Linked DNA regions of Coturnix japonica. The protein of the gene in region 3 purifies or fractionates together with the protein of the main gene of each other region. This does not show direct contact. Links are inferred from orthologs where the notes say so. Each region holds a gene or a part of one and is shown on either strand. Other genes may lie near its edges. The genes, in order: CTNNA3, CAV1, CTNNB1, HDAC7, TOP2A, TRRAP and SMARCA5.

Region 1 (3,764 bases), on a different chromosome or scaffold from region 3:
AAAGCTTTGCTGAATTATGTTTTACAGGAAGCTGAGTTACTGGAAAATTTCAAGTGTCTTTTATTTTGGAGCAATAATTATTTGCTTTCCTACTTAAAACACAGTTGTAATTCTCTGCTGGTGCACACTCATTACACTGCAGCCTGAACCGGGACCCGGTGAACTCAGTGAAAACCCTTAAATTAATGCCTGTGAACTTTGGATCCAGCTCCTAATGAATGACTCATTCACTTTAAAGATCTTCCTTAGCTTTAATTCCATCTTACTGTCTTCAGTTATAGGTTTTCTTAATTTAATCTGTCTCAACACTTAGAAAACGTTTGCTACTGCAGGGCATAAAATAACTAAATGTTTCACATTCTCATGCTGTTAATTATCAGGACTTTTAGGAGCTTCTATATACATTTTTGTTCTCAAACTGTTTATTATGCTTTAACGTGCAAGTAAGATATAGGTCTTATGCACATAACATCAGTGTTTTTCTTCTGTGATGCATTCAGTAATGCAGTTTTTCAATAGATTTAGTAACGAAATACATACTTCTTTAAAAGCTCAATTTTATTGACTAGTACAGAATTTATACTTAATGGATTTTTCATACAATTATCCTTGTGCTTTTTTAAAATACACAGTCAAACTAGAAATCTTGAAGAGAAGACATTTATATGCATCTGAAATCTATTATTTCACAGTTTATGTGGGTATCTGTATATATTTTCACAATTTAGAAGCAAGGAATCATAATAATTAATCTTATCTCTTCAAATCCTAATCCTTTTGTGGAATCAAGCCTGTACTCCAGGAAGTGGTTTCTGGACACAGACAGATTGCAATGGGCTCTCATGGTTAATAACTGCACAACAAAATTATTTTTTATCTTTTTGCCTTGTTCCTAGGTGAAATGCCAACCAAAGTACCAAACATTAAACTGAAAATTGATCCTCAGGATCTGCAGATCCAGACCTTTACAGTGGAGAAATTACTGGAACCACTTATAATTCAGGTATTTTAACATTACAGAAAAGAAGTTAGACATACAGAGAAGTGAATGAGGTTGAAGAATATAGACTAAGAACACTGTTGTGTAAAGCATTCCCATGACTCTTCTGTAACTGGCTTGGAAACTGGGCATTGTTATGCAATTCCCTATTTTTATTTAGTTAATTGCATGTACCACAAGGTTCTCCGTCTACCTGCGTCCTTCAGCCTTGTCAAGATGATGACTAGAGGATTGCAGGACTGTCAGCATTGTTGCATCTCCCTCTTGGCATCCCAAGCAGTGACTAAGGTGGTATGTTAGAATATTGCTGTGCAGGGCTCTGCAGAGAGAGGAACTCACAGGTAGAAAGTGGCATAACTGTGTTAATCTGACTAGCATTATACTTCCATACTTACTCTCATGGCTATGTACTGCTAGTTGCACTAGGTCTTCAGAGTAATGGAAAAAAATTTCTTTAATCCTTCTCAACCCCCTGCCATCATGCAAACAAACACTATAAGGGATTGTCTTTGTCCATGGTGTTTATTTTATTCCATGTGTTTTGGGAAAAGTATGTCTGAATGGAAGGCTTTTAGGTACAATTCCATATCATATTTTATTTCACCTTCAGAGACCAAAGCTTGTTGAATTTTGTTGCTAATATAAATAAGGATAACATTTGAGACTAGATTAGGTTTGCTTCTGTAGTGTTGGTGCAGGCAGCTCAACACCTCACAGCTGCTCACCCACTGTTCCCAAATGGGATGAGGGAGAGAATCCTAAAGTTGAAAGAGAGAGAAATCATGGATTGAAATAAAGTTTATTTGCTAGGTGATGCAAATACTTCCCGAGCAAGTGAAGCAAAACAAGGATTTGTTCATTAATTCCCATCAAGAGGCAGATATTCAGCCACTTTTAAGACAGAAGAGACACATAACAATTTAATTTTTTCTTTGGAAGGCAAATGCCAACATTCTGAGTGTCCTCCACTTCCTCTTCCTTTACCTCAGTTTTTATTGGTAGGCATGACACCGCATCATATGGGGCATTCCTTTGGCCAGCTGGGGTCAGTTGTCCTGACTGCGTCCCTTTCTTAGCTTCTTGTGTGCTCTGAGCTTGTCTTTGGCAGGGCAGCTTGAGAAGCAGAAATGTCTTTGGCTCTGTGTATGCACTGATCTGCAACAACTAATACAGTCAAGGTGTTATTACTATTATTTGATAAAAAATCCAAAGCACAGCATGGTACAAGCCTCTAGGCATAAAGTTAACTCTACCTCACCTATGACAAATAACAAAGTAGTGCTAGACATTGTCTCTTTTGAATTTAATTAAAAATTAGGAAATATGTGGCTGGATGAGATTTATGTCACTTCATTGATTCATGAAGGAAACACTACATAACTGCTTTCACCCTGTGATCTGTGCAAGTCCTATAAGATGCAGATTAGCTACTTGTTTGGAGACTTTGTCTGAAATTCTGTCTCTTTATTTGTATGTATACACACACTTAATATGTGCTATGTGTGTACATGTATACTTCTCAAATATTTCAAAGAGTTTTTCCTTACCAAGCACATTTTCTTCCGTATGTTTATATTCTTTGCACACACACAGGCTATGGAAATTTTATGGCTGTGAGAGAGAGGTAATTTTTACAGAATACTTACAAATGCATGTGTTTTAGGATTTCATGTATTATATTACTGATGAAAAATAAGGAAGTAGAAAGGCTTTTATTTATTGCCATGTCACCCACACTGACAAAACTTTGTTCACATAGAAATGATTCAGTGCTGTTTTTAGTTCTGTATGGTGAATTTACTCTATGCACAGTGCAACTGATTAAGCAGTATTTATGCTTATGGGCAACACTTTGTTATTCCCAAACATCTGACTCAGACAAGGGCTGGCTAGCATTTGAAACGGTGAGGAGGTACTTCTGCTATTGTCATTAGATTGCTGGCTTCATATATTGTTTCTTCAAATGTTCAGGGATTAGAGTTACTTAACTAAATGCTTTTCAACACTTATAAGCTATTTTGTGGTTGATGCTTTTAATTTTTTTGTTATAATAATAATAAAGAAAATCTTTTGGTACTAAAGGTATGAAAATACTGTTTTCTTTAACTACAGTAATGCTAATAGGTTGTCTTTTAAAGACTGAATTGGTTCTGAATATAGCATTAGAAGAATTACTGCACAGTGCCCTAGGATTTCAGTATTTGTGAATCGTGACAAAAACAAAAAACAGAGCAATTCTACAAGCTTAATAAATAATGGTAATAACTGACAACAACAGATGTGCTGCTGTGATGGCATATGGACTTGAAAATCTCACTTTAAAATCTTTGGTCTTATAGTAATTCTCCTCCAAACATCTTAAGTGTTGTAAAATATGGTATTGATTTCCACTGAATGCTGGGAGATAGCAATATCATATATGGCAATAAGGATGTATGGCAACATAAAACTAACTGAAATGCAATTAGGCATGAGCTAGATTAATGGGGTATGTTTCTCCCTTGTTTGTTTATTTATTTATTTTATTATTCTGAGCCTTATAATGCTGTCATTTTAACTGTGTATTCTGTCACTGTTGTGCAACCTGTATTGACAGTGGATCAAAAAAGCATGCTATGTTTGCTGCTGCTTAATTCAATTTTTTTGTGTAGAATCATCAGTATGGTTTTATATTCCTCATTGGGATTTTGTGTTTGAAAATGAAGTAGTTTCTCTGTATCTATTAACTTTAGCCAACTTATCAGATTTTAACTAAAATTTGAGA
Region 2 (3,764 bases), on a different chromosome or scaffold from region 3:
ATGGTAAATCAGGAAAGTTTTCTTCTGAATGATCTTCCTCATAAAAAGATAAAATATATCTTCTTTAAAATTTTACTTGGTTTCAGTACAGAAAAAAAAAATCTATAATAGTACACTCTCCATTATGTACATAGAAAAACATAAAACTATATCCATACCAGTGTCTGTTTTTAATGCAAACAATAGTAGTTAATAGCTTTGTAACTTTTTGTGCACCTTTTCCCCTCTTCCCTCCCTCTCTTCCTCCCTCCCGGCCCCATTAAAAAAAATGCAGCATTTCCTAAAGTTTTCAATGCTTTGGCAGAAATGCAACTGAAGGCACTCCCGTGTTAAGCAAAGCAGTAGGTGAAATATCAGCGCTAGATAAAAAAGCTGCAGGTGTACCAGACAGCTCCGTGCTCAATTCCAAGGGCCAAGCCCTGTTCTCTTGGAGGTCAAAGACTGGTTTGCAGTAGATGCCAACCAGAGCAGGCTCAGGCCTCAGGCTGGTTACAATAAAGCAGATCAGCCTCACAACTCTTTTTACAAAAGCTTCATGCAAACCACATGAGGATACGGGCTGTATCTCTCAACACAGTACTATCATGAGGGCAAAAAGCTCCTGTAGGTCACAGCATCAGAAAGCGTCGCAAGGACTTTGCCTTGTAGGCCTTTAACCTTGCTACATAGGCTAGCTTGACACAACACCCTCCATTTAAGACTTCCTGATGTTGCAGCACAGCTAAAAACAGACTAATCCACAATGTGAAGTTTCTAAACCGTCTCTCATGATGGATTAATTTAGATTCAGCAAAGCGTCAGTTCATCTGAAAATAATGTGTGCTCGCGGCATGCTGACTTCTGCTGATAGGAAAGTTTTTTAAAGCTCATTGGAAAGTTTCCTTTAGAGGCAGCCCCTCCTTGGCATTTTGTGGCTTGTGTTTGGCACACCTTCGTGTTTCTTGTAACTCAGGGTTATCTCTGGCATGCTTTTATATGAATACTCTGGAAAAAAAATAAATGAAGCCCACGAGATAAACACCTAAAACAGCTAAAGGATGTGTCATAAGTCACAGTCAGGAAAACGTTTCCATAATGACCAGTTTTAGTTTTCAACTTCACTTTTCTTCTACAATTTAGTGAAGGTTGAGCTACAACTGGCTGCAAACTTCCAAGTAAGAATGAGATACAAAGGCACTAACAGAAGCCTTTTTATGGATGAGCAAAGCTTTCACATGTCAGTGTCTCCAACCTGATGAAATGTTAGTTTTTCAGGACATTCATTAATTAAGTAAATTGTTTACTTATCCAATGTATTCATAGTACATCACACCTGACCATGATTGCAAATCGCTGTAGTCAACTGACTACACAATTGAAAAAGAACATTCTGCTAAAACCTGCCAGCTTGTCATGTTTATTCTGCTGCAGCAGCTCTACACTCTTTGGCCACAATAAAATGAATGGCATTACAGCGTTGGAAAGCTTTTTTGTCATTCTTTGGTAACTCTGTGGATTTATCTTACAAGGAATGAACAGTGAGACAAAAAGGCATCCAACAACATTTCAGACTCTGAATTGAACAGCCAGCAAAATGATATGCAGCTGTCATGGAGGAATAGCTATTTAAGGTTAGTTTGAAATACAGACTGAAAAGAGAAAACACAATAGGCAAGTAGTCCAGTATGAATACATAGTAAAAAAGGATATTGAGCAAGTGATTTTTTGTTTTGGGCCAGTATATCCACCAGTTGCTGTATGTTGCTTTGGGAAACGTGAAACTGGCACCAAAACACCCCAAACAACACAAATCTCCCACCCCTTCTCCAGGCTTTTTGAAATGTCCCTCAAATGTCTTTCTGTACTGTGGCTCGGATGCTGCTGAACACCTTGCCCATAGCCTCAAACAGTGGGTCGCAGAATGTGTGGATGCAGATAGAATAGACACGGCTAATGCACTGGATCTCAATCAGGTAGCTCCTGATGCACGGCACCACCGCCCAGATGTGCAGGAATGACAAGATAGCAAAGTAGATGCCCCAGATGAGTGCCATGGGAATGCCAAAGATTGCTGACAGCAAGCGATAAAACCAGTATTTTGTTACAGTGAAAGTGGTAAAACTGGCCTTCCAAATCCCATCAAAGCTGTGTGTTCCTTCTGGCTCAGCAATCACATCTTCAAAATCAATCTGCAGCAAAGAACACAAAAATCAGGTCAGTCAAACATCCTCATCAAGTGTGGAGCCCAGAAAGCCCCTTCCTCAAAAGCAATGATCGCCTGTAACAAACATTGAAGCTTCTTACATCCCAATATGAATTAACCCATTTTAAAATATCACCTAAGCCATGAGCAAGACTTGTCTTTTTTTTTTTCCCCACTGACTATAGGTGATACTTAATGATTAGCTCAATGATACACATCTAACTTTTAGATGGAGAAGAGCTATCCAAAGAACTGAATATTTTGTCCTCCTCTCCTGCAGCCTTAAGGGTAAGGAATGCCCTTAATTCTACTTAAGACATGAAAAGGTGATAGAAACATTGTATTTTCATTGTCTAGCTTTTCACCATCTCACATCTTTATAAATGGAACAAGTGCAGACACTGCTTTGACATTTAACACATCAATAAAATGTGTTTTATTTGTTTGACTTTTTCCACCTTCCCTTATATAGTATTGCTGAATTTTGACAGTGAACAAATGTTGAGGGCATCTAAATATACTTTGAAATAGGCATAGATAGCTGTTGATTGGCTGAAAAACAAAGTGCTGGATTTAGAACTGCCTAAGATGGAACTTATCTTTATTGTAAAAGAGTGAGGGAGTCTTTCAATTTTATTAAGCGTAAGAAGGCTTTTCACACGAGAGCCATTTTGTTCTAACCTGCTCTGTTTACGTGATAACACTGTTAGTGGAAGACATAGTCAGGATAACGTGTTAATATTTAGAAGGAACACACTCTTCCACATATTTTATAGTTTTGAATATTATTCATAAACTGTTCACAGAGTCATCTAAGGAAGCAGTACATTCCAGCATGCATATTTTACCATTCTCTGTTGAAATATTGAGCTTTTCAGGAAGCCTAATTGTCATAACATTTCTATTAGAAAATTAACAGAATTACTATGATAGTTCAGCTCCATGTCACACAAATGTGTTTGATATAACCCACCATACAGGATATTTAATTTAGGCAGCGCAACAGATTGCATAGGTGCTGCATACAACAGGAAAAAGAACGCCATCAAATTATATCTCTCTAAGAAATGAAATGGTTGTTTAACTTAGATGGAAGAAAAAAAGAAAATGCATTCCTGGGACTGAATCCCAGTGTCCAATGATACTGCTGCCATAAGGGAAGATATGGGCCAGAGGTCTCAGAAAGTCAGGCAACAGGTCCTTAGCACGCTGGAAGGACATGAATGTGAATATACTCAGTGTATCACCTATGCTGTAGGAAAAGGCTCAAAAAAAGCTCGATTAAAATACAGACTGAAGTTGACAAAAAACCTTCTCCCTTTCTCTCATTGAGTCTTCACGTGAATTCAACTGAGTTCTTTGTTAGGGAGCTGTTGGAGAGGGTCCAGAGGAGGGCTACAAAGATGATCAGGGTGCTGGAGCACCTCCTCTCTGAAGACAGGTTGAGGGAGGTGGGCTTGTTCAGCCTGGCAAAGAGAAGGCTGCAGGGTGACCTCATTGCTGCCTTCCAGAACCTAAAGGGAGCCTACAAACAGGAGTGGAGTAAACTCTTTGCAAAGGTAGATAATGGCAGGACAAGGGG
Region 3 (4,235 bases):
TCACATTGGTAACTCTAACCAATGCAGTGGATACGTCACACAACAAAGCACCCCCAAAACAAGCCTTCTAATGCTTAACCAAAAAGTCAGCCAGCAATAGTGCCCTGCCCTCTTTTACCAGGAGTCACTTTGCCTGAACAGACAAGGAAATCGCATGCAATACTCAGTGCCACGCAGTCTGCAGAATTAGCACGGTGCCACGGCTAAGCCGGAGCTCCTGCAGAGCCACCCAGAAAGGCAGGAGGCTCAGGATTTGCAGGCACATGCTTGAGGAGTCGTGCACAAGCCCCAGCTGCCTGCATAGTTTCTCACCAAATCTTATCAGGCCCTATGAAGTATATGATGTTTAAGATAAGTAAGGTCGGTCCTGATTTTCCTGCCGCAGTACGTAGTCTGCCAGAGTTACAGAACAAGTTTTGCTGCCATCATCACCGCCAGCCCTGTGTTACCAGCTTTAACTGAGTTAACAGGAGCGATTCTGCTTACTGCTGTGTTTGCACACTAATCTGCCTACCAGACAGTATTCCACAGAAACATCTTTAGCCGTAAGTTTCAGACAGCACCATCAGACTCCCATTCACAAAGACAGATGATTACAATTGCTCTTTCCTGCTCCCTTCTTGCTATGTGCCTCTCTACTCCAAGAGTCATTTAGAAGGCCACCAAAACCGACTTTTCTCCTTTACAAAAGAATTCACTTAAGCACTGCGCTCTGAAAGACTAAACACAAGCTTCTGTTAGTTTAAAGTCACGAAAACCAACATTCACCACACAAAGAAAGCCTCATCTCTGAAGGGCAGCGAGGTTTCAGGACTGAGATTTGATAAGCTGGTTACTGACACACCAGGCAGTCACAGCAACATGCAAGCATTCATGAGAATGGATCAGGCAAGCAGCCCAGCCCATTTATTGCTTTGGTAAGAACAGGAAGCCTGGGTTGCAGGAGATGTAACAGAAGGCTACATTTGAAAAATGGATTGACTTTAAAGCAAATCCTTGTTTTTAGAAGCTCTCCTGCTTTGTCCTTTCATCAGGGTGTTTTTATTGATTTCTTCCCCACACTCTGAAATGAAACAGTCAAACAGATCAACATGAACGTTCTCATGTCTATCAGTTTGTAACTAAACAGATGTATGAACTAATAGCCACAGAACAGTGATATTTCCTTAGGGCTCCAGAAGAACCCAGCACTCGATCCAATTCTTCTTGCAGTGGCTGAATTTAGAGAGGTTTAAGACTTTTCCTGAACACTTCAGCAGCTCATTTCCAGCAGTACCAACCATTCTGCAACACACAGATAAAGGCAGCTGTCAGCACCTTTTATAAAGGGTGCAAGATTAACATTAGATTCCTGCATTGTCAGTTCCTGAAATTCACGTTATAACTTAACAAACAGCAATGAGCTTCACGCTCACTGCAGTTTTAAAGGCTTGCAGGAGGACATTACTAACATTCAGAAGCAAATTTGTTAAAGGAAGAGTTTATCTCCCCTAATTCTGAACTCAGAATGAAGGAAATAGTGACACGTCCAGGTAGTTTCCTAGCCTGCCCTTGCCCTATTCCGAGCACACAAAGATCCTGTTTTACTAAAACCCCTCCTTGATTTCCTTCCCCCGACCTCAGCATACCAGCCCGGCCTCTTTCCATTCACCACTGCATACTTTGGGGGATGGGAGGACCACAGATGTCTGGAACGTACCGAGTGTCAGAACAATGGCCGCTCCACGAGAAAGAGATCAAGAAGTAAAAGCCGACCGCAAAGATCAACACCGCTGCTCTCCAATTCACAACCCGCCCGCGGTACCTTCACAGCCTGTCCTCCCTTCCCAGTAACCTCTACCGGTGGTATCTCTTCTGGGAAAAGAGAATCCAATCGACTGCACGACGTCCTGCTGCGAGTTTCAGCTAGAGGATAACCGAAGATTTGGGGAGTTTTGGGAGAAACTTGCCCCAGGACCGTGCACAAAAGATGGCTTTTCAGGAATGGACACACCTGGGTCTCCCGTTTCACGGGGAGCCGGAAATAAGTGCCCCAAACATAGCTGGGAGCGACTGCCAAGTTGTTTCGAAGCGCCTTAGCTGGGGGGAACCGCGGTCCCCAGATGGGCTACAGGGTGTCTCAAATTGACGCTACGACCGCACTTCGCGGACCCCCATGAACAGCGTAAGCCCTCCAGCAATCACAGGCACGCAAATAAGACCGAAAACCCACGCGGCATCAGATCAGCTATCTCCCGCACACTGCAGCGGCCGTGATTAGTTAATTACACGAACAAACCCACTGCTCTCCGCCCCTCACCCCGCCACCACCACGACGGCGGCTCGGTGACCCCCCGAGAACCGAAAAACCCTCCCAAGAAGCCCCATGCCCGCCGAGCCTCGCCCCGCTGCCCGGGACGCGCTTCCCGAGAGGCCCCGGGGGCCGCAGTTGCCGCCTCCCGCAGCTGTCCCGACCCCTTCCGCCCCCCCTCCCGAAGCCCCCCACCCTCCCATCCGAAGCCCGGACCCCCCCCCGTTCCCTCTCCCCGCTGAGGGAAGGGCTCGCCCCGAGATCCCACCGGATGAAGCGGCACTAACGTGGCACGGAGGCGAGAGCGTAGCGTCCCCTCGGGCTCCGGCTGCTGCTGCCGCCCGGGCGATCCCGGCCGGATCCGTCTCTCCTTCCTCGTGCCGCCCTCCTTCTGGCTCAGCTCTCTCCCAGCTGCGTCCCCCGCCGCTGCCTCCCGTATAGCAACCGTGCGAGGCGGCGGCGGTAGTCCCCGAGCGCCGCTGCTTGCTGCTCCCAGCGCCGAACCGGGAGAGAGGCTTAAAATGGCGGCGCTCACAAGCAGGCTCTTATAGCGAGCGCTGGGCTGGCTGTATCCTGCCGCCGCGGCCGGGCCCAGCGCGCAGCATTCCACAGGCACCCAGCGCACAGGGCAGGGGGAGGAGAAATAGTGCCCGGCTCCCAGGGCGGAGGGAGACGGAGGAGGCCGAGGCGGCAGCAGGAGCCGCCTGAGGGAGGGAGGGAGCGAGGGGGAGGGAAGGAGGGAGGGGGCGGGCGGTGGTGGTTGGGACGCTGAGCTCCGGAGGTGGGGGAGAAGGGAGCGAGCGAGTGAAGTTGTGCTTGAGGGGTGCGGCCGCGGGGATCAGCCTGGAGGCTGCGTCCCTGCACCGTCTGTTTGTACGGAGAAGACTATTTTCAGTATATATATACATATATATATATATATATATATTTTTTTTTTCTGGGTTTTAAGCACGTTTCGCAACGCACGCCCCCGATTCACACAGCCTAGCTTGGGTGGCGGATGGGGGGGGGGGCGGGCTGGCTCCGCTGGCGTCGGCGAAAACGCGCCTCGCGTTTTTCTCCAGGAAGCGGCTGTTAAAGACAAGTGTCTCGTTGTGCGATTTATTGGTGTTTCACGAAAGAAGCGAGCAGCCCCGGACCCGCTCCTCACCACCGGGGCTGCCTCCTCTCAGCGTGCGCGGCCCCGCGGGGCGCGGCCCTGCCTCGGCGCCTCAGCGCGGGCTGCGGGACGGTGAGAGCGGGGATATGAGTTTGCTGCTCGTATTTCTTTTTCCTCTCGTTGTATTCAGTAATACACAGACTAAAAATAAAAGAAAGAAAGAAAAAAAGCCTTTTCTACAGCGATTTGCACGTCAACTTGCTCCCGTCGATGCTTTTATTTTTTTTTTATTTTTTTTTTTTCAAATGGGATTCTTCCTTGTGGTGAAAATAAAAAATAAGGAGGGTTTGCTGTACACAGGACACGCCCCAACCTCCCAGGCGGCCCGGGCACCCTTCCCATCCCTGTGGGGCCGCACCCCGTACAGGGCAGGGAGGCTTGTCCCATTAAAATGGCTCTCGAAGTAGTTACTCTAATAATAATCATCTTTGATTCCTTCCTGTTATGTTGTAGGGCTTGCAGCAGTGTCCCCCTACCAGCCTCTGGGCACCCGTAGGTTCCCGCTGTAAGAGGTGAACAGCCTTGAAGTTGGAGGTCCAAGGCATCCAGCTTCATTTGTTGCAGTGTTTTCTCTCAGGACGGTTGCCTGTTTTGGCTCCACAGGCCAAAAGGAGGGTAAGAATGAGGGCAACGAGGCGGCAAGAGCTGGCAAAGCCAACGCTGGCAGTGCAGGGCCAGCAGGCTGTGAAGGTTGGTCACCTTCCAGGGGAATTATCGAGTGGTGCTGCATGCCATGGAAGTGTGCAGCAATGGGCAGAAGGACCGTGGTGTTCTTGACTCCTGAAG
Region 4 (3,764 bases), on a different chromosome or scaffold from region 3:
AAAGCTGCCCTACAGGGACACAGCAAACCCCCCCCCCCAGCCCCCTCAGGGGTCCTGGCTCTCACCTCATTGCCCAGCAAGGCTGATACACAGGCTTCAGAAGCATCACAGATGGCAGTGAGGTCGTGGCCTCCTTCAAGGGCCAGGACGACGCGGCCCCCAGCCAGGCTCATCAGCTGCTTGGTCAGGTAGCCAAAACCTGCCCAGGAAATCCAAGGGGCAGACATCAGCCTCCCTGCCCAATACAGCAGGGAAAGAGCCCCCTCTGCTGTGCCAGAATAACTCTGAGCTGTCCCTGTGAGCTGCCAGCTCCAGAGCCCAGCCAAGCAATGGGAAGAGCTCAAAGTGCTGCTTGTACTTCCTTACATTTAGCAGAGACTTTGTAGCCACCCAGGGGTGGTGGGTGGCCATCAGCTGCATCGAAGCCAGCTGACACCAACACCACATCGGGGGAGAATTCATGTGCGATTGGCATCACCACCGTCCTGTCAGGGTGAAAAAGAACAAGTAGTAAGAGGGGTTAAGTGTTGGCTTAGCCTGAAGATGGGGGAAATGCAGAGGAATGCAGAAAATAGTACCTGAAAGCAGCCAGATACTCAGGGTCACCCATGGGGGGGTCAAGGCCTCCAGTCCAGGCTACGTTGACATTAAATCCCTCACCAGGGCCAGCACCAACCTGGGGGAGAGCAAGGATGATGGTGAAGGGCTGGATGTGGCCCGCAGGGATTCATTTCTCCACCCATACATGGGTCAGATCCCCTCCATCCTCATAACCATCAGTAAGCAGTCCCATGCTTCACCATGTCCTGCACTCTGGGAACAGGAAACCCCAACTCTGCATTAAGGCAAAGCAATGGAGATCAGCTTCCATGGAGACGTCCACCTGAGGGTGGAGGGGATGGACACCCTGGGGTCTCTCACTTGTAGGACTGAACCAAGGGGCTGCCCCAAAGCGGAGCTGTGTGGATCTTGGGGCCTGTCTGTTCATTTCATACCTCATCAGCAGCCCCGCTGCCAGGGAAGAAGTTTCCATCGTCGTGACGATGCAAAGAGATGTAGAGAACGTCGGGGTCTCTGTAGAAGATCTGCTGGGTCCCATTGCCGTGGTGAACATCCTACAGAGAGATATGGATGATGTGAGGGCCCCTTTTTGTGCACTTGAAACTGCCCTGCAGCTCAATGGAGCTAAAAGCACCTAGATCCCTGCCCTGCTTCAGACTCCCCTGTCTCAGATCTGGTCCCAGTTCCCCCACCCTGACATGTCAGGGAGATCCCAGCCACGTTCCTGAAGCCAGACCCCAATTAGGATTCTCTACCCTCAGGTCTAACCCCAAATCAGAGCTGGGATGTCCTGGGAAGGCACAAGAACCTTCTAGGGGACAGGAACAACTTACCCAGTCCACAATGAGGATCTTGCTGAGTTTCCCTTTCTGCTGCAGCTGCCTGGCAGCAATGGCCACCGAGTTGAAGAAGCAGAACCCCCTGCAATGAGGCAGGTGGAGCTGCTCAGAACCAGGATCCCCTGAGCACCCATCCCTCACCAAAGGATGGGCTCTGCCTCCCCTCCCCACTTAGTCTGAGTACAGAAGGGTCCTGGGGCTGTTAACAGGGAACAATTAGTGTTATCACCCCCTGGGGGGACCCTGTATTGACCTAGATTCTGGGGCTTCCACTACAACACCCATCTGGGAAGGGGCCCTTACATGGCAGTGGATGGATCCGCGTGATGTCCGGGCGGCCTCACCACAGCAAAACCATTCTGGGGACAAAAAAAATCCATGAGGAGATCAAACACCCCAGCAAGCCATTCCTGCTGCAGGGACATTCCGTGCCATACTGGTGGGACCTCCAGGCCCCACTGTCCCTCTCCTTACCTTCAGCTCCCTACTGGCCACTTTGAAGGCCAACTCGGTGACGCTGCCTGCGGCCCAGCGGGCTGCATTGGAGGAGTGCAGCTCATTCCAGATGGTATCACTGTCCACCTGCAAGCAAGGGAACAGTCAGATAGAGATGGGGATAGGGCACATCAGCAGGAGAACCCACACTCTGTGCCAGCCACCCTGCTCAGAGGATGAAGCCACCCTGCAAACCATGGGGCAAGATCCTTGGCTCCACAGTGTCCACCTGGGGACAGCAGTCAGGGTAATGGCTCCTCACCCTGACCCCCAGGGAAAGCTCTGCACATGGAGCACCTCACCCTGTACCCAGGATCTAGAAGGAGTGACTGAGAAAACGCTCGTTACCTTCTTTATCTTATTTTATTGTTTAACCAAACATCTTGGTTTGATCAGGATCACGTCAAGGGCTGAGCCAGAGCCGGAAAACTCAAGTCTCTTCTGATCAACTCCATGTGTGCAATTCAAATGCTCCCCCTTTGCCCCCCGAGGGGGCAGCTCCAGGCCCCTGCCTTCGGGCAGGGCAATAGGAAGGCAAGGGGGGAGGCAGAGCAGGGAAAGTGGATGTAAACGAGGCTGAGAAGAGCTGGTGCCCAGCAGCAGGGGCAAGGAGAGGAGAAGAACCAGAAGAGGCAGCAGGAAGGCATGGAGTGAGACCCTTCCTGAAAGAGAGAGAAAGAAAAGGACAGACGGGGAGAGAGGAAGAGAGGAGAATGCAATGAATGGAGAGAAACCAGGGCAGCAAGCTCTGAGAGGAGAGGCCACAGAAATGTCTGGAGAGAAGTGGAAAGCTGCTGTCCCCATGCCACTGTCCATGACCCTGGTGGAAGCCCATGCTGCACCCCGGCCATCCCACTGGGATGTGGGATGCTGTGCACACAGCTGAGGTCCCATCTGTCCCATAAATCTGCTCCCTCCTAAAGCCCCTGGCTCTCAGATGTGGCTGCAAGGGGTTTGTGGTAGCAGGGTTCCCTGGAGGAAGGGTCTGCAAAGGTCTGATTCAAGGGCAGGATGCTCCCAAGGATAGTGGGAAGCCATGCTACAATGATGTCCTGCTCCCATTTGAGGGAGGCTGGGACAATTTTCTGTGTCCATATGCAGGCTGTTGTTGCTTGGGCTGAGTCTGTAGGAGGCCACAGACCAGATTCTACCCTCAAGGCTCTGAGCTCCCTTGGGACAACCCACAGACACACAGGGGTGGGGGCTGAGAGCAGCCCAATGGCTTTGGGAGCTCCCTCCCCACTCAGGCCACTCAGTGGGGCCAGAAGAAATAAAACAAGCCCATCCAAAAAACACCCTGAGCAAAGAAGGAGCACTTACCCCCACCCCTCCACAGGGCAGCATGACGAACATCCGCTGTGACAGAATCCCTGCAAGGAGGAGACAAGGAGGATTCAGAGCCATGGGAACCAGGGATAAGGGCACACAGCACAGGGACAGCACAGGAGGGCAGATGGGGGCTCACCTGCCAGCTTCCCATTGTCCAGTTTCAGGCGGTTGAGGGGATTGGTGCCATAGAGGAAGACGTGGCGCTCGGTGTGGACACACTGCAGCTCCTCCAGGGTGGCCTTGCGTCCCCGCAGACACTGCAGGGCACAGGGGCTATGACTGAACCACCCCAGGATGGGACATGTGTTCCCCTCCCCAGATAAGCCATAGACAGACTGTTTTCCTACAGTTGTAGAACCCTCTATGGCCCAAAGTCAGTCCTACTAAATCAGGATTAATAGATAAGAGCTGACACTGACGTTCCCCAAGCTGGCAAAACACCTCAGTCCTATCTCAGCAGGGATTGTGCCCATCTTCCAGCACAGCAAACTCATGGCCATGGTCACACCAGTGTCAGCAACAGCCAAATGTAAACCCCCT
Region 5 (4,368 bases), on a different chromosome or scaffold from region 3:
CTGCCCCCTGCTGTCCCCGCAGCTCCGCCTGGTGGCCCTGAACGTGCCCCTGTCCGGGGACATGAGCGGTATCCGCGGTGCCGACCTGCAGTGTTACCGGCAGTCCCACGAGGCCGGGCTCTACGGAACCTTCCGGGCGTTCCTGTCGGCCCCCAGCCAGGACCTGGCCTCCATCGTCAAGAGGACGGACAGGACCCTCCCCATCGTCAACCTGAAGGCAGGGCTTTATCCCCCCAGCAAGCACGGGCTCCCCGTGTGTTTTCCTTGCACCGAGACGCACCCACAGCCATTGCAATGGGGACAGCGGGCTTTGAGGAACGCTTGTCCCCCCCCCAAAGCTCACTGCCCCCCCCCAAAGCTCATTGCCCCCCCCGTGTCCTTAGGGCCAGCTGCTGGCTCGCTCCTGGAGCTCCCTCCTGCAGAGCCCGGCTGGAGCCGCCCTGCGCAGCCCCATCTACACGTTCAATGGGCGCAACGTGCTGAGCGATGCCCTTTGGTGAGTCCCGGCCCACGAAGGGTGGGATGTCGGGGGGTCTCCCCGGGGCTCCCCGTCATCCCGTCTCCCCGCAGGCCCCGCAGGTTGGCGTGGCACGGATCCACGGGGCGGGGCGGCCATTCCCAGCGCCGGGACTGTCAGGGCTGGCGGAGCTCCGGCCCCGGGGAGGGTCTGGCGGCCCCGCTGGGTCCGGGCCGGCTGCTGGCCGGGCAGCGCCGAAACTGCTCCGAGGAGCTGGCGGTGCTGTGCGTGGAGGTCGCCTTCCCGTACCGACACATGTGGTGAGAGACCCCCGGAATTGGGGGGGGCTGCGGCTGGGAGCAGCGGGACACCGGACACCCCGTCCATCACGGAGCCCCCCCCCCCCCCCCCACACACACACAGCGCCCACGTTTCCTCGGATATAAATAAAGGATCAATCAAAGCTGCACATCGGGCGGTTACAACGCGCTGCTTCTATTTGTTGCGTTCGGGATGGCACCAAATGGAACCGAATGGAACCAAATGGAACCGAATGGAACCGCCGTGCGGGATGAACGGGATGGGCGGGATGGGCGGGCGGGGATGGGGCTGATATGGGGCAGGTATGGGGCTGATATGGAGTTGATACGGGGCAGATATGGGGCTGGGATGGGGCAGATATGGAGCTGATATGGGGCTGATATAGGGCTGATATGGGGCTGATATAGGGCTGATATGGAGCTGATATAGGGCTGGGATGGGGCTGATATAGGGCTGGGATGGGGCTGATATAGGGCTGATATGGGGCTGATATGGGGCTGATATAGGGCTGATATTGGGCTGATATAGGGCTGATATGGAGCTGATATGGGGCTGATATGGGGCTGATATGGGGTTGATATAGGGCTGATATGGGGCTGATATAGGGCTGGATATGGGGCTGGATATGGGGCTGGATATGGGGCTGGATATGGGGCTGGATATGGGGCTGGATATGGGGCTGGATATGGGGCTGGGATGCCGCCGTGGTGCTGAGGATGGTTTTGGGGGGGCACAGTCCCGCACTGCCCCGCACGCCGCCGCCCCCCAAACGATGTACTGCGTGCCTCGCAGCGCCCTCCTTCCTCGCTCCTCTATTGGTTACCAGACCTGCCCATCAAGCAGCCCCCTCTCCCGACTGTCTGGTTTTGAAAGAGCGGAGCGCACGGGAGGGCGGGCCGTACGTCCCTCCGCCCTTCAGCGATTGGCTGTTTTCAAGGGGCGGTGCGCTGTGATTGGCGGAGCGTTTCGGCGGGCTCGGCGGAGGTTTGAAACGCGCTGCGCCGTTACCGGCCGCCATCACTCCGCGCCCGCCGCCATGGAGCTCATGGACTCACCGGCGCCGCTCCGGGTACGTGAGGGACCGACCAGACCCTCCCTCCATCCCTCCCTCCCCACCCCGCTGAGCTCCGCTCTCTCCCGCAGCCCCTTCACGACAACGCCCGGCTGCCCAAGGCCGATGTGGCGCAGAAGCGGCTCTCGGTGGAGCGCATCTACCAGAAGAAGACGCAGCTGGAGCATATTCTGCTGCGGCCGGACACGTACATCGGGTCTGTGGAGACCGTCACGCAGGTGGGGAGACCTGTGATGTGTGATATATGTGTGATATATGTGTGATGTATGTGTGATGTATGTGTGATGTATGTGTGATGTATGTGTGATGTATGTGTGATACATGTGTGATACATGTGTGATACATGTGTGATATATGTGTGATGTGATATATGTGTGATACATGTGTGATACATGTGTGATACATGTGTGATACATGTGTGATACATGTGTGATGTATGTGTGATGTATGTGTGATGTATGTGTGATGTATGTGTGATGTATGTGTGATATATGTGAGATATATGTGTGATATATGTGAGATATATGTGTGATATATGTGTGATATATGTGTGATATATGTGCTGTGTGTGGTGTATGTAATGTATGTGGTGTGTATGTGGTATATGTGGTGTATGTAATGTATGTGGTATGTGACATGTATGTGACATGTATGTGACATGGGGTGTATGTGACATGTATGTGACATGGGGTGTATGTGGTGTATGTAATGTATGTGGTGTATGTAATGTATGTGGTATATATGATATATGTGCTATATGTGGTGTGTGTAATGTATGTGGTGTCTGTAATGTATGTGGTATATGTGATATATGTGGTATATGTGGCAAATATGGTATATGTGGTGTATGTGGTATATGTAATGTATGTGGTGTATGTAATGTATGTGGTATATATGATATATATGTGATATATGTGCTATACATGGTGTATGTGATGTATGTGGTATATGTAATGTATGTGGTATATGTGATATATGTGGTATGTATTATATATGTGGTGTATGTATTGTATGTGGTATGTATATGTGGTGTATGTAATGCATGTGGTATATATAATATATGATATATGTGCTATATGTGGTGTATGTGATGTATGTGGTATATATGATATATGTGCTATATGTGGTGTGTGTAATGTATGTGGTATATATGGTATATGTGGTGTATGTAATGTATGTGGCATGTGTGATATATGTGGTGTATGTGGTATATATGATATATGTGGTGTATGTGATATATGTGCTATATGTGCTATATGTGGTGTATGTGTGTGCTGTATGTGGCTCCTTCTTCATTGCAGCAAATGTGGGTGTTCGATGAGGACGTGGGCCTCAACTGCAGGGATGTGACCTTCGTGCCTGGCCTGTACAAGATCTTCGATGAGATCCTGGGTGAGTGCAGCCCAGCATTGTACCTGCCCTCCAAAGGACACGGCCGCTGTGTTACAGCCCGTTTAACCCTCAGTTCTGCTGTGGGTGCTGTTATTGTAGCGTCCTTCTTTGTAACCTGCCAAACATCTCCCTTCCAAAGAGTTAATTGGTGGTTTTGCATTGGATCTTTGCATTTGTTCTACTGAAAACCCCACCTGATTTAGCCCTTTCACTATGGTTTATGTCTATTGTCCCACTTGTGAATGCGCTCTAATAAAAGTCACCTTCCCCTTCCAGTCAACGCTGCAGACAACAAGCAGAGGGATAAAAGCATGTCCTGCATCAAAGTTACCATCGACCCGTGAGTGCTGCTTTTGTCCAATGCCTTCCCCCCTCAGCTGCTTCATTCTCTCACTCCCTCACTGCCCTGTTGGTGTATGTACATCATCCTGTTGATGTAGGTGCTGCAGAGCTCAGTGTCGAGGCCTATTCATGTTAAACCTACCGTGGCTCATGGGCTGTAACAGCCTCATTCCTTGTGTGCTTCCTCGTTCTGTTGCAGAGCACTGACTGCCAGGCTGTGGTTGCACTGAGCACACGCTTTCTGTGTGCTGCTCCATTGTATTGGTGCTCTGCAGGTCTGAAGCTGGAGGGCTTTTTGTAGACTTGCCCTCCCTCTGCTGGCTGCTGCCGCAGTTGCTGAACAGGAATCTGTCTGTAGATGAAATGGTGGCCTTCCTGTGGAGATCTTGTCTATTTGTTTCAGAGCTCAGTCATCTGCAGCCTTACAAATTATACTTTCCTCCTCCTCCAGAGAGAATAACACCATCAGTGTGTGGAACAATGGGAAGGGTATCCCAGTTGTTGAACACAAAGTAGAAAAAGTGTATGTTCCTGCTTTAATCTTTGGGCAGCTGCTGACATCCAGCAACTACGATGATGATGAGAAGAAAGTCACAGGTAGGGAACACTGCAGAGCGTGCAGATGTACCTGGGCAGCCTGACTGTGTGATCTGGGAACTGAAGTACCTATATGAGTAACTGGTGTTAATTAAATGCAGCTTTATAGTGGCTGCAGGGTTTGTGGGACAGTTTATTGTTAGTCATACTTGGTGCTGAAATGAATGAGCTCTTGTTGGTCTGGAGT
Region 6 (3,764 bases), on a different chromosome or scaffold from region 3:
ACTGCTCAACAAACACATCACATGCATGTCTCATCAGTGCAGCTCCCACCTTGTAATGCTCAGGCGATTTTAGTTTCAAGATCACACTCGCCTCTTGGTCTGTTCAGCTTCTGCCATATTAAAACTACCCAATGAATGCCATAGAGAGGGTTTGTTTTTCTTTTTTAAATATTTATTTTGAAAAAATCACTCTGTACAAATGTAACATCCTCAGCACTGGGGTCTTATAAAAATGCTCACACAACAGAAGGACTTGAGTGAAACATTAAACTCCTCTCTTCTTAAATTACAAAGAAACTGATTCATTCTAAAGAAGCTATTGCAATTCTAAACATTAAAAAAGAGATAACTTTATAAGATTTATCTTCTTTCTCTATTGCAGTCAAATACGTGTATCAATAGATGACTTCTCCCATGCTTTTTATAAGCTTTCCCCCCAACACTGTCCACAACTGAACCAAATGCCCTAAATGGATTACACTTCTTCTGTACACAGCTTGTGCTCCAAGAAAACCTCGCACAATCTCACCATCCTTTTCTCAGTGCCTAACAAAAAGATGCGTCTATACATCCGGTACAAAAGTCTCTGTACAAGCCACATTTGCTCACGTGAATTTCTCAAGCAAATTCAAGGAAGAATATTTATTCGAGCCTTCCATTTGGTATCATGAAGGAACAGTGATTAAGTAAAATTTCACAAAGTAAAATCAATGAACTGGGAATTCTGTCCGCTTTAATAATTATTACTGTATAAAAACTTTATATGTTGTAGGTTATTAGGAATGGCAAACCTGAAATCTAACAGTGCTAGTTTTACAGTCCCCATCATAAAATAAGATTTTTTCTGTGTATTTTTAAGTTTCCTTCCCTAATTTTAAGCTATTTGCAAAAGCCATTGTTGCAAATTCAACAACCTTTTCCTTTTTCCTTATTTTTTTTTAAACAGGATTTTAAACCCTCATGAAATTAAAAGGAGTAAACCTGTCCTATTTCTGTAAACACAATCCAACGAAGACTGACAAAATGCAGTGTGACAGGTAAGCCAAGGTCTGATTTCTCTTTCACATTTCCTTAGCACAATATATGGCTCACACCAGTGACGGCAGCATCAATAAAAAGCTATTGCAAATTTCAAGTTACAGCCAGGGGTGCCAGGCAGGATCCATCCGACAGAGATTATCCAAGCTATTTGCAGCTGCTACCAGCGTGTTCACTTTGCTTTCTCCTCCTTCAAACTGAGCAAGATTATGAAGTCGAGTCATGATAGCGGTGACAGCTTTCTGAACGAGTGAAACCAGCTGCTGGCTGTCCATGTTTTCAGGCTGTCCAGCTGCTGAGAGCGGGGAGGAGGTATCCTCCTGTGTTTTCTTGTGCCATGCAATTATTTCATCCCGCAGCACAGTTTTCAGGATCCCATCAACCTACATGAGAGAGAAAAATCAGACTATTATGTTTAAGCTCAGCAAGCACGAGCTCTACTCTGCAGACTTTAAACTAAATATTAGTCTCCTCATGCTTCTAAGATTTTCTGGTATCAAGTCTGAGATAAACCTTCTGTTTGCATATAGTAAATAAGCATGTTTTAGCATACCTAGATATCAGGTCACGCATTTATTAAATACATTTCATATCAAACGTTAAAGGAATTCCTCTCGTGTCCAGAATTCAGACAAGCTAACACGACTGTAACCACACACCTGAGATGAGCTGGGCACCCATCACTCCAAAAAGCACAAATGGGCACCCATGCTCTCGTCTTGTAAATTCAATATGAGAAGTCTAATCGGGTTGACATCATCCGGATGCACAGATTACACACCAAGTCAGCAAACTCATTTGCATGTACAGACATGGCTTTGTAAGGCAAAGTGACGGATTATTTTTTAAAAAAATCTAAATTTTCCATATTACAAGGAAAAAAAAATCCTTTTAGGATATTTTCCATCCTTTACAAAGTAACTGCTCACACTGTAGCTGCAGTACACTCTGTGCAGTGCCGTTCTGGTGCAAATTGCAGCCTAAGTGCATGATGCCTCATTTTTGGAAAGCATTAGAATTTAAAAGGAAGTTAGACAATTTCTTTAGAAAACTACACCCTGCTAAGAGCTCGAATCCATCAAAGGAACAATGTATCTTGAGCATTCTGCTCTGCTAACAAAGGCCAAACACATTTCTATTCACAGCATATTATGAAGATTCTAAATGATGTTGCATTTGTCATTTCACTACTTACTACTGCCAGAACGTGTAGGGATTTATGAGGCTACAGCACTGAAACAATCAGCCTGAATTAACACACTTCAACAGAATAAAGAAGAAATTCAGGGTACAATTACACCTATCTTCCTCCTATTCTTTCCAAAACGGCAAAGTCTTCAGCTGCTTTTATGATGACCTTGGGGTAAGACTTCAAAACATAAATATGAGGTGCTCAGTTGCTATCTCAAGCAAGAAAATGCTGTTTAGCTCCTCGTATCCTAAATGATAAATGCAAATGAAGTGCCCGTAAACAACTTTTGGAAAGGTATACAAACCTTAAAGTTTGGCTGTGCAAAGCAGCGAGCAACTGCAATCATGGAGGCGGTCAGTGGGCCGGACACCCCAATGGTGGTAAGAAACTCGGAGATGTTTGGTGTGAGGCGGAATGGAACCGGGCGATTGGCATCCAAATCTCCCGTAGCATCATTAATGTCAAAGCGGAAATATGCTACATTTAGCTTGCCAGTATCCTGGATGGAAAACCAAAATGCACAGTTTTTGAGTAAATAAGTTCAGACTGAAGTAATTTTTACCAGTGAGTGTCCAAAAAGCTGTAATGAACACAGATTGTAGTATTAAACCTCGGGAAGCAATACTCCTCTGGCAGGGGTCTGAAAGGAGCTGGGCATAAAGATGGATCTTCACTCTCCAGGCATCTCAGCTCTGGGTAAGCACTTTCTATGTGCTGCTCACTGGGTAAGAACCTGAATGGCACAGCTGCACAGTGGGAATTAAAAATCTACACTGCCATACACAGCGTAACTCTCCATGCATTAAAATGCCATTAAGGCTTTAATATATACCACCTTTGCTCTACTCCTCATTTTAAATATTGGGTTAAAACAGAGAACTTACTTCTAATAGGAGTTGTAGCTTGACGTGATGTCAATGCAGAAAAGAGGCCATTATTTGAAAAAGGGTTTGCTTTTAAAAGTTTTATTTTGTTGTGTTGTGCTTTGTTTTTTTTTTAAGCTGTTTGGCACACAGGTCTATCCAAAGCAACATGTTTAAAACAAGACTAAAGAGAGGCTGATCAGTCACTTGCAGTAACAGTTCTGATATCTGTAACCAACTTTACAGACTACGTAATAAATTCTAACCACAGAAGGAAGACTTGATGGCAACTGGGTCTGCAGTATAAATCACTGCCTACATGATGTGCAATCACATAATCAAATGAAAGCCTACTGAAACACAATTATATATCGCAAATCCCCTTTTTGACTCAATTCAAACTCTGAAATTTCCATTTGATCAAAAAAGACAGCGTGTAGTTAGGACAAAACAAAGCATACCTGAGCTATCTGCAGCATTTCAGGGTTGAGTCTGTTTAAATGAAAGATAAATTCTGCAAAGCCAATCAGGGCTAACTGAATAGTGAACATCTTTCGGAAGGTCCAGTAATCCGTGGCATTGGGGAATGTATGTAAAGCCCACTCCTTAAGCATACTGCGTGGCACCATGTTACTCTGCACTTCTTTAAGTATATCTCTGAGAACCTAAAC
Region 7 (3,764 bases), on a different chromosome or scaffold from region 3:
GACAAGAGAAGACAGGGGAAGAGATTGGTGGAAAAAGACTCACACGTGCACCAAATAAGCATACAGTCCATAGGTAAAGAAAAACAACTGCCACTTAAAAAGCAAAGTCAAGTCTTCACCCTCCTGAACTCTTACATTACAGGTTTCATCACTCTCTTGCTCTTTCCCCATATAAAATTCTCAAATCCTTTGAATTTTTCTAAAATTTAACCCTCTAAGTGCCACCCCAATTTATGAAAGCAAACAGAGTGATATTAATAAATTAAGGCCAATTTCTTGCTTTCAGCTTTAACTTCCCACATCTATCTGATCAATTTATTTTTAATATTAGTCAACTCACCTTGGGAGCTTTTGGCTCACTGACTCGCAGAGCCTCTCTAAAGTAAGCGTCCACAGCATAATTGGCTTTCCTTTCTCGTTTAGGGGGCTCAATCCACTCTGTAAATGCCATCTGTAAATAATAATAATAGTAATAAATAAATAAAATCCTACTACCCCCAAGAATTATCAAGACTAAGTCCTATATAATATTCAGTCCAGCTATTAATTTTATATAAAATGAAGAGCACATCTACTTTATTAAATAATTTAAATTCAAAGTTGTTTATGTAGTTCTCTTGTATTTTAACCAACACATTTTAAAGTATGGCACAATCTTGCAGATCACTGCTTTCCTCCGAAGGAAACATGAAGGTTACCTTCTGTTTTTCTCTGTAGTCCTCCCCTTCAAAATTATATACGCTGGATTCTGTATCCATTGTGAAATTCCTGAGTGAACTTTCACCCATCTTAGAGAGTTTTTCATTCATTTCTGCAGTCTGGGGGCAGGGGAGAGAGAAAAGAATATTAACAATTTAGAAAAGTGCTTTCAAAAAGTTACAAAAACTCAGTTGCAACAGTAGGAAAAAAAAAAAAAAAAAAAACCAATATAAAACTTCTAAGAACAACCATATTTTTCTCCAGCTTATAATAAAGCTGTCAGCCAGCAATATATGCCTAACATCTAAGTTTACAGGGAAGTGCCTTTCTTTGCTTTTAATACTTCATTTATCTCACCTTTTTTGCACCTCTTTCCAAAATGTGATCTATATCTTCATCTGTAATCTCACTCTCCTTGGAGGCAAACACGTGTGTCGCTCCATGTCTGATCATCTGCAGCATTTCATCCTTCCCAAGTTTATTCAAATTTTGATCCACCAGTCTTCCTAAGAGAAAAGCATTGGAAGGTAACAACATAAGGAGGAACAATAGAAGACTTCCCCCTTCCCTTAGCCTTAAATTGAAAATGCATCTCATGCAGGGAAATTCCATGTGGGAAAAATAAATAAATAAATAAAAAGCCAGCAAAATCTACCCAGGAATGACATACATTTTGTTTCACAGTACATTAGTTGCATTTGAACCATTTTGGCTGTTCTGGTGCATGGTTTTTTTTTGGTTGATGGTGTTTTGTCTTTTTTTTTTTTTTTTTTTTTTTACAATTTCAAGACAAAACCTTGTTGAATAATCTTTCCATTATAGCCTATGTATGAGGTTATATCCTCACCACTTCTCCCTGCATATTAAATAAAACCAAGGTCTTACTTCTTCCATTTCAACACTAATTTTCTTAAACAGAATAATTTAAAAAAATGACATCTGTCTATATCCACTTTATTTCTGGGCAAGTAATCAAAAAGTTAATGAGGAGAAGCCTACCCCTGTTGTAAGTTTTCAAATGGATCAGGTCTTTGCACTCCATCTTCAGAGTACAGCTGGGGCAAAAGCAACATTCCCATTAACATTCACTTGATTTCACTTCTTTAATTGTTGAAAACAAACAAAACAAAAAACTCATCCTGTGTACAAACTTAACTAATTGCCCCCATATACTTGCCTTGCTGAATGACTATGGAATCAAGGCGGAGCTTCATCTCTGCACGCTCCACTATCCTTTCTTCCACTGTATTGTCTGTGATAAATCTGAACACTCTTACGGTCTTTGTTTGACCAATTCTGTGAGCTCGATCCTACACAAAATAACATAACAAAAACTTAATGCTTTAACCCAAATATATAATTACCATCAATTTAGTTAGTTTCAATATACTAGTTTGTAACACAGAATAGTGTAGGCTAGTTGCAGCTTTATAGCAGTCCAAGTAGCATGAGTACCCAAGATAGCATGTGTTGTGGTTCTGTGATTTTTGGTATCAGCATTCCACATTAGAACATCATGCAGAACCGTGGCAGCTAAAGAGTTCATGTTCTGGGTCTCCAGAGCGGAGCCCAGCCACTCTCTGCCTCTGGCCATCTCAGCTTACCGCAGAGAAAAGCACATACTTTCCCTCGCACTGTCCTGGTTCGACTCTTACTTTGGGTACTCTTGTCTCTCTCATTTGGTTGGACAACACTGTTCTTTGCATTTCAAGTTGGTGTTGTTTTTTTTCTTTCTTTCTTTTTTAAAGTAATCCCAATAATAACGAAGTCTGTAAACACAATTTTCCTCAAAATAGCCCGGGGTTCTTTTGGTTAAATACCAAAGGGGAAGATTGGATATTTCTGGCATTAAGCAACCTCCTGTAAAACCAGAGTACCTTAGCAATTGTCTCTGTACTGACCAAGAGCTACCTTTCTAAAAACCATTCAGTCCTTCTATGAGTATTTGAATAAAAAAATACAATGCAACCTCACCTGACTGGCAAATCATTAACCACTACAAGAATTAGTATTCCAAACATACACCTTTAGTGGTAATTTGAACTACATCACTTTGGCTTTCAGGCATTGTTTTCATCATTCTCTTAAACTATTTTTGCTAGAACACTTGAGAACATACAATCGTCACTGAAAGACTTCATTTGCCAATTAACATTTGTAGGTTTTAAATACCAACTTTCTTTCTTTAGCCATCATGAACATTCTTTGTCAATGTCCGGAGATGCATAAAAATTTACTTCAAAGAAAATTACAGCAAATTAAAGTTGGTTGCCAACAGGAGCTTGCACGTTTATTAGCAGCCAGAAGCAATTTCTGAAAACTCTAATTCAGGTTTTTATTCACCTCTTTTCTAAGGTTTCAGTGGAGACAGTGAAAGTACATTGAACTTGACTCCTCAGAGAAGGACGGTTTATAGTTGGGAAATTAAGACATGCCATTAGTTTAGTTTTTAGTGAAAGCAGTCCTCTTTTACTTTACTTTTAAACACTACTAGGAGTATCATGGCCCTTCCCCCCACTTGAATCACTGCATAGCCCAAATGTGACTAAGCTGCACTGGAACTGAATACTAAGTCTTCAAAATACTACTTCTATGCTAAAACAGGAGAAAGATCACTTCAACCTTAAAAATGCCACCACTGTATAACACACACATTTATAAGAAAGTTACATGAGGAAAAAAGAACATTTGTATCTGGGTTCTTACCATAGCCTGAAGATCTACTTGTGGATTCCAGTCTGAATCATACAGAATTACAACATCAGCAGTAGCCAAATTGATTCCAAGACCTCCTGCCCGTGTACTCAACATGAAGACAAATTTTGAGCTACCAGGTTCATTATACGCATTAATAGAAGCCTGAATAAAGAGAACATTATCATCAGTTGCACTAAATGTTTTATAAATGCTGTTTTTGTGTAAGAGAAATACTTATATACCTGTCTTTCGTCGTGAGGCGTTTGTCCGTCCAGTCTACAGTATTCATAATTTCGCCACATGCAATAATCTTCCAAGATATCCAGAACTCTGGTCATCTGGCTGAAGATTAAGACTCGTGAACCTGT

The links.
Region 1: the proteins of CTNNB1 (region 3) and CTNNA3 purify together in Homo sapiens (affinity purification with mass spectrometry; 4 studies listed by BioGRID and IntAct, counting the BioPlex papers as one, with this or other methods). This does not show direct contact. The link is inferred for Coturnix japonica from reciprocal best matches to the Homo sapiens genes CTNNB1 and CTNNA3.
Region 2: the proteins of CTNNB1 (region 3) and CAV1 purify together in Homo sapiens (affinity purification with western blotting; 3 studies listed by BioGRID and IntAct, with this or other methods). This does not show direct contact. The link is inferred for Coturnix japonica from reciprocal best matches to the Homo sapiens genes CTNNB1 and CAV1.
Region 4: the proteins of CTNNB1 (region 3) and HDAC7 purify together in Homo sapiens (affinity purification with western blotting; 5 studies listed by BioGRID, with this or other methods). This does not show direct contact. The link is inferred for Coturnix japonica from reciprocal best matches to the Homo sapiens genes CTNNB1 and HDAC7.
Region 5: the proteins of CTNNB1 (region 3) and TOP2A purify together in Homo sapiens (affinity purification with mass spectrometry; 3 studies listed by BioGRID and IntAct, with this or other methods). This does not show direct contact. The link is inferred for Coturnix japonica from reciprocal best matches to the Homo sapiens genes CTNNB1 and TOP2A.
Region 6: the proteins of CTNNB1 (region 3) and TRRAP purify together in Homo sapiens (affinity purification with mass spectrometry; 3 studies listed by BioGRID, with this or other methods). This does not show direct contact. The link is inferred for Coturnix japonica from reciprocal best matches to the Homo sapiens genes CTNNB1 and TRRAP.
Region 7: the proteins of CTNNB1 (region 3) and SMARCA5 purify together in Homo sapiens (affinity purification with mass spectrometry, with the first as the bait; 3 studies listed by BioGRID). This does not show direct contact. The link is inferred for Coturnix japonica from reciprocal best matches to the Homo sapiens genes CTNNB1 and SMARCA5.

Annotation. Positions count from the first base shown.
Region 1 is NC_029521.1:8,411,004-8,414,767, reverse strand, and holds part of CTNNA3 (catenin alpha-3), read left to right. Parts: intron 1-896; coding exon 897-1,003; intron 1,004-3,764. UniProt on the Homo sapiens protein: May be involved in formation of stretch-resistant cell-cell adhesion complexes.
Region 2 is NC_029516.1:22,486,263-22,490,026, forward strand, and holds part of CAV1 (caveolin-1), read right to left. Parts: intron 2,169-3,764; coding exon 1,827-2,168; 3' UTR 1-1,826. UniProt on the Homo sapiens protein: May act as a scaffolding protein within caveolar membranes. Forms a stable heterooligomeric complex with CAV2 that targets to lipid rafts and drives caveolae formation. Mediates the recruitment of CAVIN proteins (CAVIN1/2/3/4) to the caveolae.
Region 3 is NC_029517.1:39,909,138-39,913,372, reverse strand, and holds the start of CTNNB1 (catenin beta-1), read right to left. Parts: upstream 2,849-4,235; 5' UTR 2,578-2,848; exon of another isoform or gene 2,559-2,577; intron 1,850-2,558; exon of another isoform or gene 1,700-1,849; intron 1-1,699. UniProt on the Homo sapiens protein: Key downstream component of the canonical Wnt signaling pathway.
Region 4 is NC_029544.1:454,595-458,358, reverse strand, and holds part of HDAC7 (histone deacetylase 7), read right to left. Parts: intron 3,482-3,764; coding exon 3,361-3,481; intron 3,266-3,360; coding exon 3,216-3,265; intron 1,983-3,215; coding exon 1,875-1,982; intron 1,760-1,874; coding exon 1,704-1,759; intron 1,483-1,703; coding exon 1,395-1,482; intron 1,116-1,394; coding exon 996-1,115; intron 677-995; coding exon 579-676; intron 486-578; coding exon 367-485; intron 200-366; coding exon 66-199; intron 1-65. UniProt on the Homo sapiens protein: Responsible for the deacetylation of lysine residues on the N-terminal part of the core histones (H2A, H2B, H3 and H4).
Region 5 is NC_029542.1:4,104,659-4,109,026, reverse strand, and holds the start of TOP2A (DNA topoisomerase 2-alpha), read left to right. Parts: upstream 1-1,535; 5' UTR 1,536-1,550; coding exon 1,551-1,847; intron 1,848-1,921; coding exon 1,922-2,068; intron 2,069-3,151; coding exon 3,152-3,242; intron 3,243-3,518; coding exon 3,519-3,582; intron 3,583-4,035; coding exon 4,036-4,181; intron 4,182-4,368. Other genes in the region: collagen alpha-1(III) chain-like, read left to right, coding at 23-217, 384-496, 571-781. UniProt on the Homo sapiens protein: Key decatenating enzyme that alters DNA topology by binding to two double-stranded DNA molecules, generating a double-stranded break in one of the strands, passing the intact strand through the broken strand, and religating the broken strand.
Region 6 is NC_029529.1:1,465,356-1,469,119, reverse strand, and holds the end of TRRAP (transformation/transcription domain-associated protein), read right to left. Parts: intron 3,759-3,764; coding exon 3,555-3,758; intron 2,730-3,554; coding exon 2,535-2,729; intron 1,422-2,534; coding exon 1,137-1,421; 3' UTR 151-1,136; downstream 1-150. UniProt on the Homo sapiens protein: Adapter protein, which is found in various multiprotein chromatin complexes with histone acetyltransferase activity (HAT), which gives a specific tag for epigenetic transcription activation.
Region 7 is NC_029519.1:26,884,863-26,888,626, reverse strand, and holds part of SMARCA5 (SWI/SNF-related matrix-associated actin-dependent regulator of chromatin subfamily A member 5), read right to left. Parts: intron 3,761-3,764; coding exon 3,639-3,760; intron 3,559-3,638; coding exon 3,406-3,558; intron 2,010-3,405; coding exon 1,877-2,009; intron 1,206-1,876; coding exon 1,057-1,205; intron 819-1,056; coding exon 699-818; intron 452-698; coding exon 341-451; intron 1-340. UniProt on the Homo sapiens protein: ATPase that possesses intrinsic ATP-dependent nucleosome-remodeling activity.